Linked DNA regions of Cricetulus griseus. Each later gene encodes a partner of the first gene's protein in a complex. Links are inferred from orthologs where the notes say so. Each region holds a gene or a part of one and is shown on either strand. Other genes may lie near its edges.

Region 1 (4,208 bases):
CCCTAGTTTACTTTCATGGTGACACTAATCATATCACTAGCTGTCCATTTTCCATCTCTTAAAACATCTCTGAAACTCTAGCATCTAGTTTAACATCACATCCCCAGAACCTAGGACAGAACTGCCACATCACAGGTACCCAGTAACTGTTGGTTGAAGAAATAAATGTGTACACAGTTGCAAACCCTAAGTTCTACTTTTTAAAATATCAGAATGCACAATGTGCAGTTCTCAGGATGAGTTCCAGGGCAGCCTAGAAAACAAAGACCAATTTTGTGTTTTCTCTTTCCCATCACTCTTCCAAGACTCAGAGAATAGGCAATGCTTAGGGCAACACACGATGAGACAACATCCTAGCTGAAAAAAAAAAAAAAAAAAAAGAAAGAAAGAAAGAAAGAAAGAAAGAAAGAAAGAAAGAAAGAAAAATGCTCTTAGGTTCTGAGGCCAGCAGAGGCCATTTACAGAGGAGGAAAGTGCTCTGTGCCCCTCATCCTCCAGCTCTCTCACACACTCCACCCACTGCAGTCAAGGACTTTGGCTATGGGATGAAAGAGTCAGCTCAGATTCCAAGGTACAGATCTGGCAGCAGACACAGAAGCATCTCCCACCATGCACCAGAGTCCTCAAAGAAAGGTCCAGAAAGGATGGTGACTCAGGCCCAGGCTAAGTCTAGTTGCAGCATTACCAAGAATTAAAAAAAAAAAAAAGCAGTAATTTCAAACGGAAATTCATTATCAGGTATCTCTTTAAAATTGTGCTTTTTAAGTACAGGCATCAGTCCTACCCTCAGATGCCAGGCCCCACCAAATCCAGTGCTCACACAAACTGAGTCAAACACAGCTTCTCCCTCTTCCCACCCACCCATCCACCACCCCACAACACTCACCATGACAGGCATTTCCTAAGCCCAGGTAGGGATCCTTGCTTCAATCTCAGCTTTCAAAGCCTCCTTTTCAAGGGGGCTTCTTAGCTTTCATCCTCTCTTCCCTAGCTAATAAGCTGTCCCCTACCACCATGTTGCCTTCACTGAGACCTCCCCCATACCCAACCCCTGGCAGTCTGTAACACAACCTACAGTAGGCTGGCCCTATCCAATTAGTTTGAATTGCTTCATGCCAAGGAAATCGCTGCTTTTATTAAAAATAAAAGCACCCCTAAGCAGGCAATGAGCTGTGAAAAGTATCAGTCTGGCATAATTATGAAGGTCGAGGTTAAGGTTAGCAGAGGAACACTCAAAAAAGATTTCCCTAAAGCCTGGGGCATGAGTACAGATACACAAATGAACACACACCAAGAGAATCCACACAGCGGATCTAAAGAGCACCCTCTCCAATTGAGAGAAAACTAAACCATAGCCACTGTTAAGTAATTCTTAAATAGAAACTAAAACAAGAGAAAAGAGGCCTAGGCGACTGAGTTCAAAACAATCTCATTCACTTCTTATGATTTTTATCTTAGCTACATCCTGGGGACCTGATTATAGTTGGGTGAAGAAATAAACCTAGTCAAACGACCAAAAAAAATGCATTCCCATCACCAGAAAAATTCTCTTTGGATACTTATAGAAATGGGAAAGTTGGATAGGAGAAACCCCTCTCTCTTTTTAAGATCTCTTCCCATCCCCACCATTCAGCCTCCACATCAGAATTTAAAGTTTCAGAGGAACGCCAAGCCCCACCACCCTGCAATTGATGTCATTTCTACTTCACGTATTCGTTTTCACATCTGATCCGCATAATTCAGTCAAAGGAGGAGGTTTCTCCAAGCCGTCCCCCCCCACCCCGCCCCGGCCAACTAAAATAAAAGGCCACTGAGGTAAACAATTTGGGCAATACTGCCCCCCAAGCCCTGTCAATTCCCAGTCTTAGTTTTAAATCTCTCAAGGACAATGACTCACAGGGAAAGTGCAGGGGGAAGGGAGGGTCAGCTGGTCAAAACCCATTCATACAACTAGAAACCAGAGTCTTGCCACATCAGCACATGAATTTAATTCACCGCGCACTGGCTTCCAACGTACCTTCCGCCAGCACCTCGTCCACGGTGACCTGCTGCCGCCCGATGCCAAAGACCCTTCCGATGTAGCCACTGCCCAGGCCTGAGCTGCTGCCCCCTCCTCCGCTGGAGCCTGAGCCCAGGCCAGAGCTGCCCTGCTCCCGCCTGGAGTCGAAAAACTTCTTCATCTTTCCAATAGGAAACGCCAAGGCAAAATGCCGATGGTTTCTCGGTTCGTATTCGTTGTAAAGAAAAGAGATCTAAGGATTTCTTCTCGGGTTTCAGCCTGGAACAGAGCCACGGGAATCCGGCCGTGGGGTGGGGGCTGAGGGACGGCGCCTGCAGGAATATACTGTCAATTGCAGGATGGGTCCCCTCCTCCTCGGAGAGCGATCTTTTAAGTTTAAACCTGCGATGACAGAGGCAGAGAGAGGATGAATCAATAACACACTCCTGAGCCCAACTGCCGGGTCCTAGGGGAAGCAAAGGCCGTCATCCAGAGGAAACGCTGCGTGCATTTTCTTCAGGAAAGCCCTGGAAACGCACCGGCCCCCAGCCCGGACCCCCGCCCCGGGCCCCGGACCCCGGACACCCACTAGCGGCGGCTCGGCGCCGAGCCCAGCTACCAGCCCCGCGACATGGCCACGGCCGCCGGCCTGCGACGCGGTGGAGGCGGCGCTGCCGCAGAGCCGGGGCCACTTAGGCGCCCGCCCGCCAGCTGATCCCCGAGCGCAGCGCTGAGGCCGCCCCTCCCCCGCGCGCGCGCGCGCCCGTCGGCTCCGACCACCCACCCGGAAGTGACCTGTCACCGGAAGTGCCTCTCAGGGCAGCGTGGTCCCCCGCTCAGGGCCGCCTCTGGGATACCAGCTGTAGTCACAGACCGAAAGAAATCGATGGCAAGAAGGGGACCAGAGGAGGGGGCACTCGGGACAGAAACACTTGAAAAGAGAACGTTGCTGTCGCCCGGCCGCTGCGCACCATGGGAAAGGTAGTTCTGTACAACCTGGCATCTGGACTACAATTCCCAAAATGCCCCGGGAGCGGGCGCACCTTAAGACGCGGTCTCCGCGGTCTGGAGGTGATACTGGAGTGGTGCAGAAGTGGGGCTTCGAGTATTTAAATACATCCGGTAAAGACACCGGAGACCAGTTTCCAAGTTGTATGTCCCACTCTCTGGGGCCATTTTATCTGCCTTGGCCTCGTGGACCGAGGCACTCTGGGAATTGTGGTTTCACATAGGTCCGGATTGACACCTGAAGGACGCGGCTTAACTGCCTCGCCCCCAGTTGTGCTTGGGAGTTCCCCGACGTCACGGGAGCGGAGGGACAGAAGGCAGGGGGTGAGGGGAGCATGGTGCCATCAGGGAGCCGAGAGGAACCCCGGTGCTGAAGGAAGCAAAACAGGTGTCTTCCCTACCCCGACCACGATGAGAACTCCCGGGAAGCCCGAGCGAGGGTCGGAAAAGCAACTGCAAGGAGACCCAATGCTGGGGGGGTGGGGGGCGGATCTAGGGACCAGCGCACGGTTCACCCTAAGGCTCCACACCCAATCCATGGCCCTCAGCGGACCCAGACCTGCCTGGTCCTCACCAGACACATTCGTGCGGGAACTTGAGACACACGTACTGCTTTCTCTTCGATACTCTTTCACTAGAAGATGCTGGGTTGACTTGGTATCGCCTGGGTGCGGATAGGGAATAGGGCTGTGTGATCGGCTCCTATCAAATGCTGAGGATTTGGAAGGGAACTGAGACCTCCGTTCCTAGATTGTCTCACAGGCGATACTGATGTGGTGTCAAATCCCTAACTCCCCTGACCCCCTCCCCCAAGAAATACATGTTTTTTCTCTTCTTCTTTGAGTATAAATTTTTTCCTCCACCTGCTCTCCACAATTCTTAATGATGCAACCGCCCTCTGGACTTGCAACGTATCCCGGAATTTCTGCTTCAGGCACTTGAGGAAGATCTAGAAGATTGCCCCCAGGAAAGAAAAAAAAAAAAAAGATGGCTCTTGTTTAATCTGACTATTGAGCTGGGCTGGGCTGGGCTGGGCTGGGCTGGGCTGGGCTGGGGTGGCTGCTGCGGTTTCTTGTTTCATGTGGTGCCATAGTCATCTAACTCCCCGGAGAGAGATAGCATCTTTCCTTCCGGAGAGAGCCAGTATTGCCACCTCAGTTCACACAATCCCATAGCCACCTTCAGGGTGAGACTCAGCACC
Region 2 (3,500 bases), on another chromosome or scaffold:
CATGAACAGGAGATCATGTTGTGTGTAGTGTTCAGTAGTACACTTGGATGTGTCCAGGTACAGTAAGAGGACTCTCAATAATTTGCAACAATGAGCCTAGTTAGTATAATCTGAGAACAAACTTTGAATACAGGTTTCAGGACACTTTCACAAATAAGTACTGTGACCGAGTTCCTAGATGGATTATGCCAATAAAACCAGCCTCAATTTCTTTTGTTATATTTTCCTTCTAATTTCATGACTTCATTCTGGAAATCTTTACTCAGACAACATGAGTAACTTGAAGGTTAGCTCTAAAATACTAACAAATTCCCTTTTGATGAGAGTGGCCTTGTCCTTTCTCTACTATTAAAAAAGAATGCCAGCACGTTTCCATTTTCTTTTATTCAACTCCACTGCTGCTGTGTTGACCTGTGAGCCAACTTTTGGCCTTTAATAATGTCAATCCAGCCATAGTTGGAGGGGAGGGATTCTATAATATGCAGCCTGGTGCAGAGATTCTTTAGCACCACTGCTAAATACAGCTCCACAGACTCTAGCAGGCAGTGCTCCAGGCAGCACTGAGGTGGGGAGGCAAAAAGGACAGGTGTGGATGCTTGTCTCATGGGGTTCCAGTTAAGACTGTGATAAGTACAATGTAGCAAAAACCAGTGCTATGATACAGAATAACTAGGCACACACTACATTATAGGAGGGTTAGGAAACCCTTCTCTGGTATGTGACAGTCATGATGAATCACACTGAAAGCATTCTAGTTAGATGAAACTTTTATGTATGAAGGCCCTGGAGCTAGAAATAAAATCTTAGCCATGTCCAGAAAAATAAAGGGATAAGATATGGGCTAAATCCAGTGTCAGAATGTAAAGAAGCAGGAGATAAATCTGGCAAGGTGGGTTTTGGCAAGGACAATGGTTCTTATTCTAGTGGACGCCATTTATGGAATACGAGCATAATCTGACTGCCATGGTTGACACTGCATCAATTTCTCTGCAGCTGCTATTGGGAAATCCAGGAGAAGAGTAAGAGTAAGCTGGGCATAAAGGCAGAGATGCTTATCCAATATCCACTGGCAGCAGAGTTGCTAGGAATCACTTGTTAAGATTCTGTTTCAGAAGAACAGAGAAAGAAATCCTAGGTGTTTGGACAGTAGACAGTGCAGCCATCTAATCTACAGAGATGGGAACATTGCTAAGAACTGGCTGAAGGTTAAAGAAAAAGAGTAAAAATTAGACCGCGATTCCCCTCTGCTAGCAATACATTACTTGTATATCATGATTTCTTAGAACACATTACACTTCTCAGGTTAGACAGATGTTTATGTTTTTGCATAGTTAGTCAGAATGTCTTACAAAGTTTCTAAAACTCTCAAACCAGCCAGTCAACTAAACAAAAACCAGAAAAAATAAGCTGCAGAACATGAGATACTCTGAAGATGGTAGGAAGTTTACAGCCAACTTAAACTGCTAACAACACATGGGGCATTTTATTGGAGGTTCTGGGGCTTCCTGGTGAGCAATCTGGAATAGAGCCAAACCCTTCCTAACTAAGGGGTTAAGGGGAAGTGAGCAAAGAGGTAAGTGATGCTGAAATGGCTTCAGACAAAAGCTGATGGTCTCTTGAACTTTACCACTGGGCAAAAATCCCTTCTTCTAGGACCACACTTTGAATTTTAATCTAAAATAAGAGTAAAACTGAATAGTGGGAATTCAGTTAATGGTAGTTAATAGAGGCAAAATAAAGCAAAGCATGTTTCATATTTTGAAATAGCCATTGTGGAAGCAATATCTGAATAAGGAGTAAATGGTAAGAAAGCTCACTTGCAGATGTGGCAAAAGAAAAGGAAGTGCTGGGTGTTCAGGTGACAAAGCAAAGGGAGTGGCAGGCTCTTGGACCCTAAATTATTAAAAACATCTTCACCAGGGAGCAATCTGAGCCAGGATTGCTTTTCTATTCAGTAATGGCAGCAAAGGATTTCACGTTTACTTTCAAGGTTGTAGCTTTAAAAAGCAAAGCGGTAACATTCGAATGTTGAACATTTCTCATGTTTATAACCATTTGGTATTCTTTACAGCAATAGTGGTTTTACGGTACATTATGAGTAGAATTTATATCTTTAAATGATTGGAGATTTGAACATGTTTTTCCTACTAAGTAATGCTAACCTTGATGCTCATAATGAAGTTGGAAATGTTCATTTTGAAAGTCATGAACAGTCACTATTATTTTTGTTTTGCTATATATTCAGAGTAATATGTAATGCCTCTAAAAGAAGGAAACCTTGTTGACCTAAACTTTTCTTTCAATTGTACAGAAACGTAAGCGTTTTAGCTTCATTCTTAGCAAAGGCACTAATGGCTTATTATCTCACCAGTCTCGCAGTATGGCTCTCCATCTTCCAAGTGAAAAACATTGTTGCGGATGGGCTTTCCACAGGCCACACACACGAAACAGGACACGTGCCAGGTTTGCTTCAAAGCATTGATGACTTCCTGTTATAGAAAGGTGGATGGAGTGAAAGATGACAATAAACACATCAATACCTGCTCTCATTGTTGAACCACACTAACTCAATGTAGATGTACGTATTTCATCTTTGTCTTGAAGTTTTCATCAAAGAAACAAGAGATGCTTAGTGGAAGATTCTCACGTCATTGAAAGCTTTTGTAAAAAGTGTGCTTTTCATAAATACAAATCCATAAACAAAGAATATTAGCTATTACTAACTCTATACATGCAGTGCATAAGGGAAGAATTACAGAAAGGTTTGCTACAACACATTCTGCTTTCTTTCAAAGGGCGTCAGGATGCATTAACCTAAAAAACTTTCATGGCATTATCTTGAAAATGTCATGAAGGAGGGGAAAGCATTTAAAAACTAAAACAAACCTAAACTCCAGTGCATTATGGAAGCAATAATGTAATCAGTATAATCCAATCAGCTCATTGAGTGTTTAGCTTTTGGGAATCAGCTGTGACTGTACTATGCACTTACTCCACTGAGTGAAGTGTGAACCATAAAAGCTAGGATCCTAGTCCACAATGGCTTCCTGTTAAATATTCCAAGATGCAAGACTTGGAAGAGATTTAATCAGTAAGAAGTTTGGGGTTGTTAGTTTTTCAAGAATTGTTCTAAGGATTCGATTAAGAAGAGGTAAAGCAACTAAAAAATAATTTCTGGAGAATATTTAATAATATGGGAATTCTTTCTTTCACTTCCTAGAATCTTATAACTTTTGCCATTCTTGACTTTTATTAATTAATTCACAGAATGCTTATTCACTAAATGTTACCTTGACATATAGCCTACTAACTGATTATCTGTCAGCACTTATGGACAAGCTAGCCATTATACTCCTTTATTGCCAATGCAATGTACAAATTAATAACATAGAGATTGGTTGGTTAGGTAGCATATTTATAATTGAAACTATTTTGAATGTTTCACACCTACTTAAGCATGTTCTCCACAATTCACATTTTTTTTTCTAGAATTTCATTAT

What was found. The genes of interacting proteins can lie anywhere in the genome.
Region 2: the proteins of Aak1 (region 1) and Pdlim5 are in contact, whole or in part, in a crystal structure (PDB 9F6S), measured with the Homo sapiens proteins. The link is inferred for Cricetulus griseus from reciprocal best matches to the Homo sapiens genes AAK1 and PDLIM5. Residues at the interface, in NP_055726.4 of Homo sapiens: Asp956, Leu958, Ile959, Asp960, Leu961; in NP_006448.5 of Homo sapiens: Ala12, Pro13, Trp14, Gly15, Phe16, Arg17, Leu18, Phe24, Gln67, Ile70, Lys71.

The regions. Positions count from the first base shown.
Region 1 is NC_048601.1:58,582,655-58,586,862, reverse strand, and holds the start of Aak1 (AP2-associated protein kinase 1), read right to left. Parts: upstream 2,801-4,208; 5' UTR 2,784-2,800; intron 2,730-2,783; exon of another isoform or gene 2,589-2,729; intron 2,402-2,588; 5' UTR 2,181-2,401; coding exon 2,018-2,180; intron 1-2,017.
Region 2 is NW_023276806.1:17,535,414-17,538,913, reverse strand, and holds part of Pdlim5 (PDZ and LIM domain protein 5), read right to left. Parts: intron 2,490-3,500; coding exon 2,369-2,489; intron 1-2,368. UniProt on the Homo sapiens protein: May play an important role in the heart development by scaffolding PKC to the Z-disk region. May play a role in the regulation of cardiomyocyte expansion. Isoforms lacking the LIM domains may negatively modulate the scaffolding activity of isoform 1.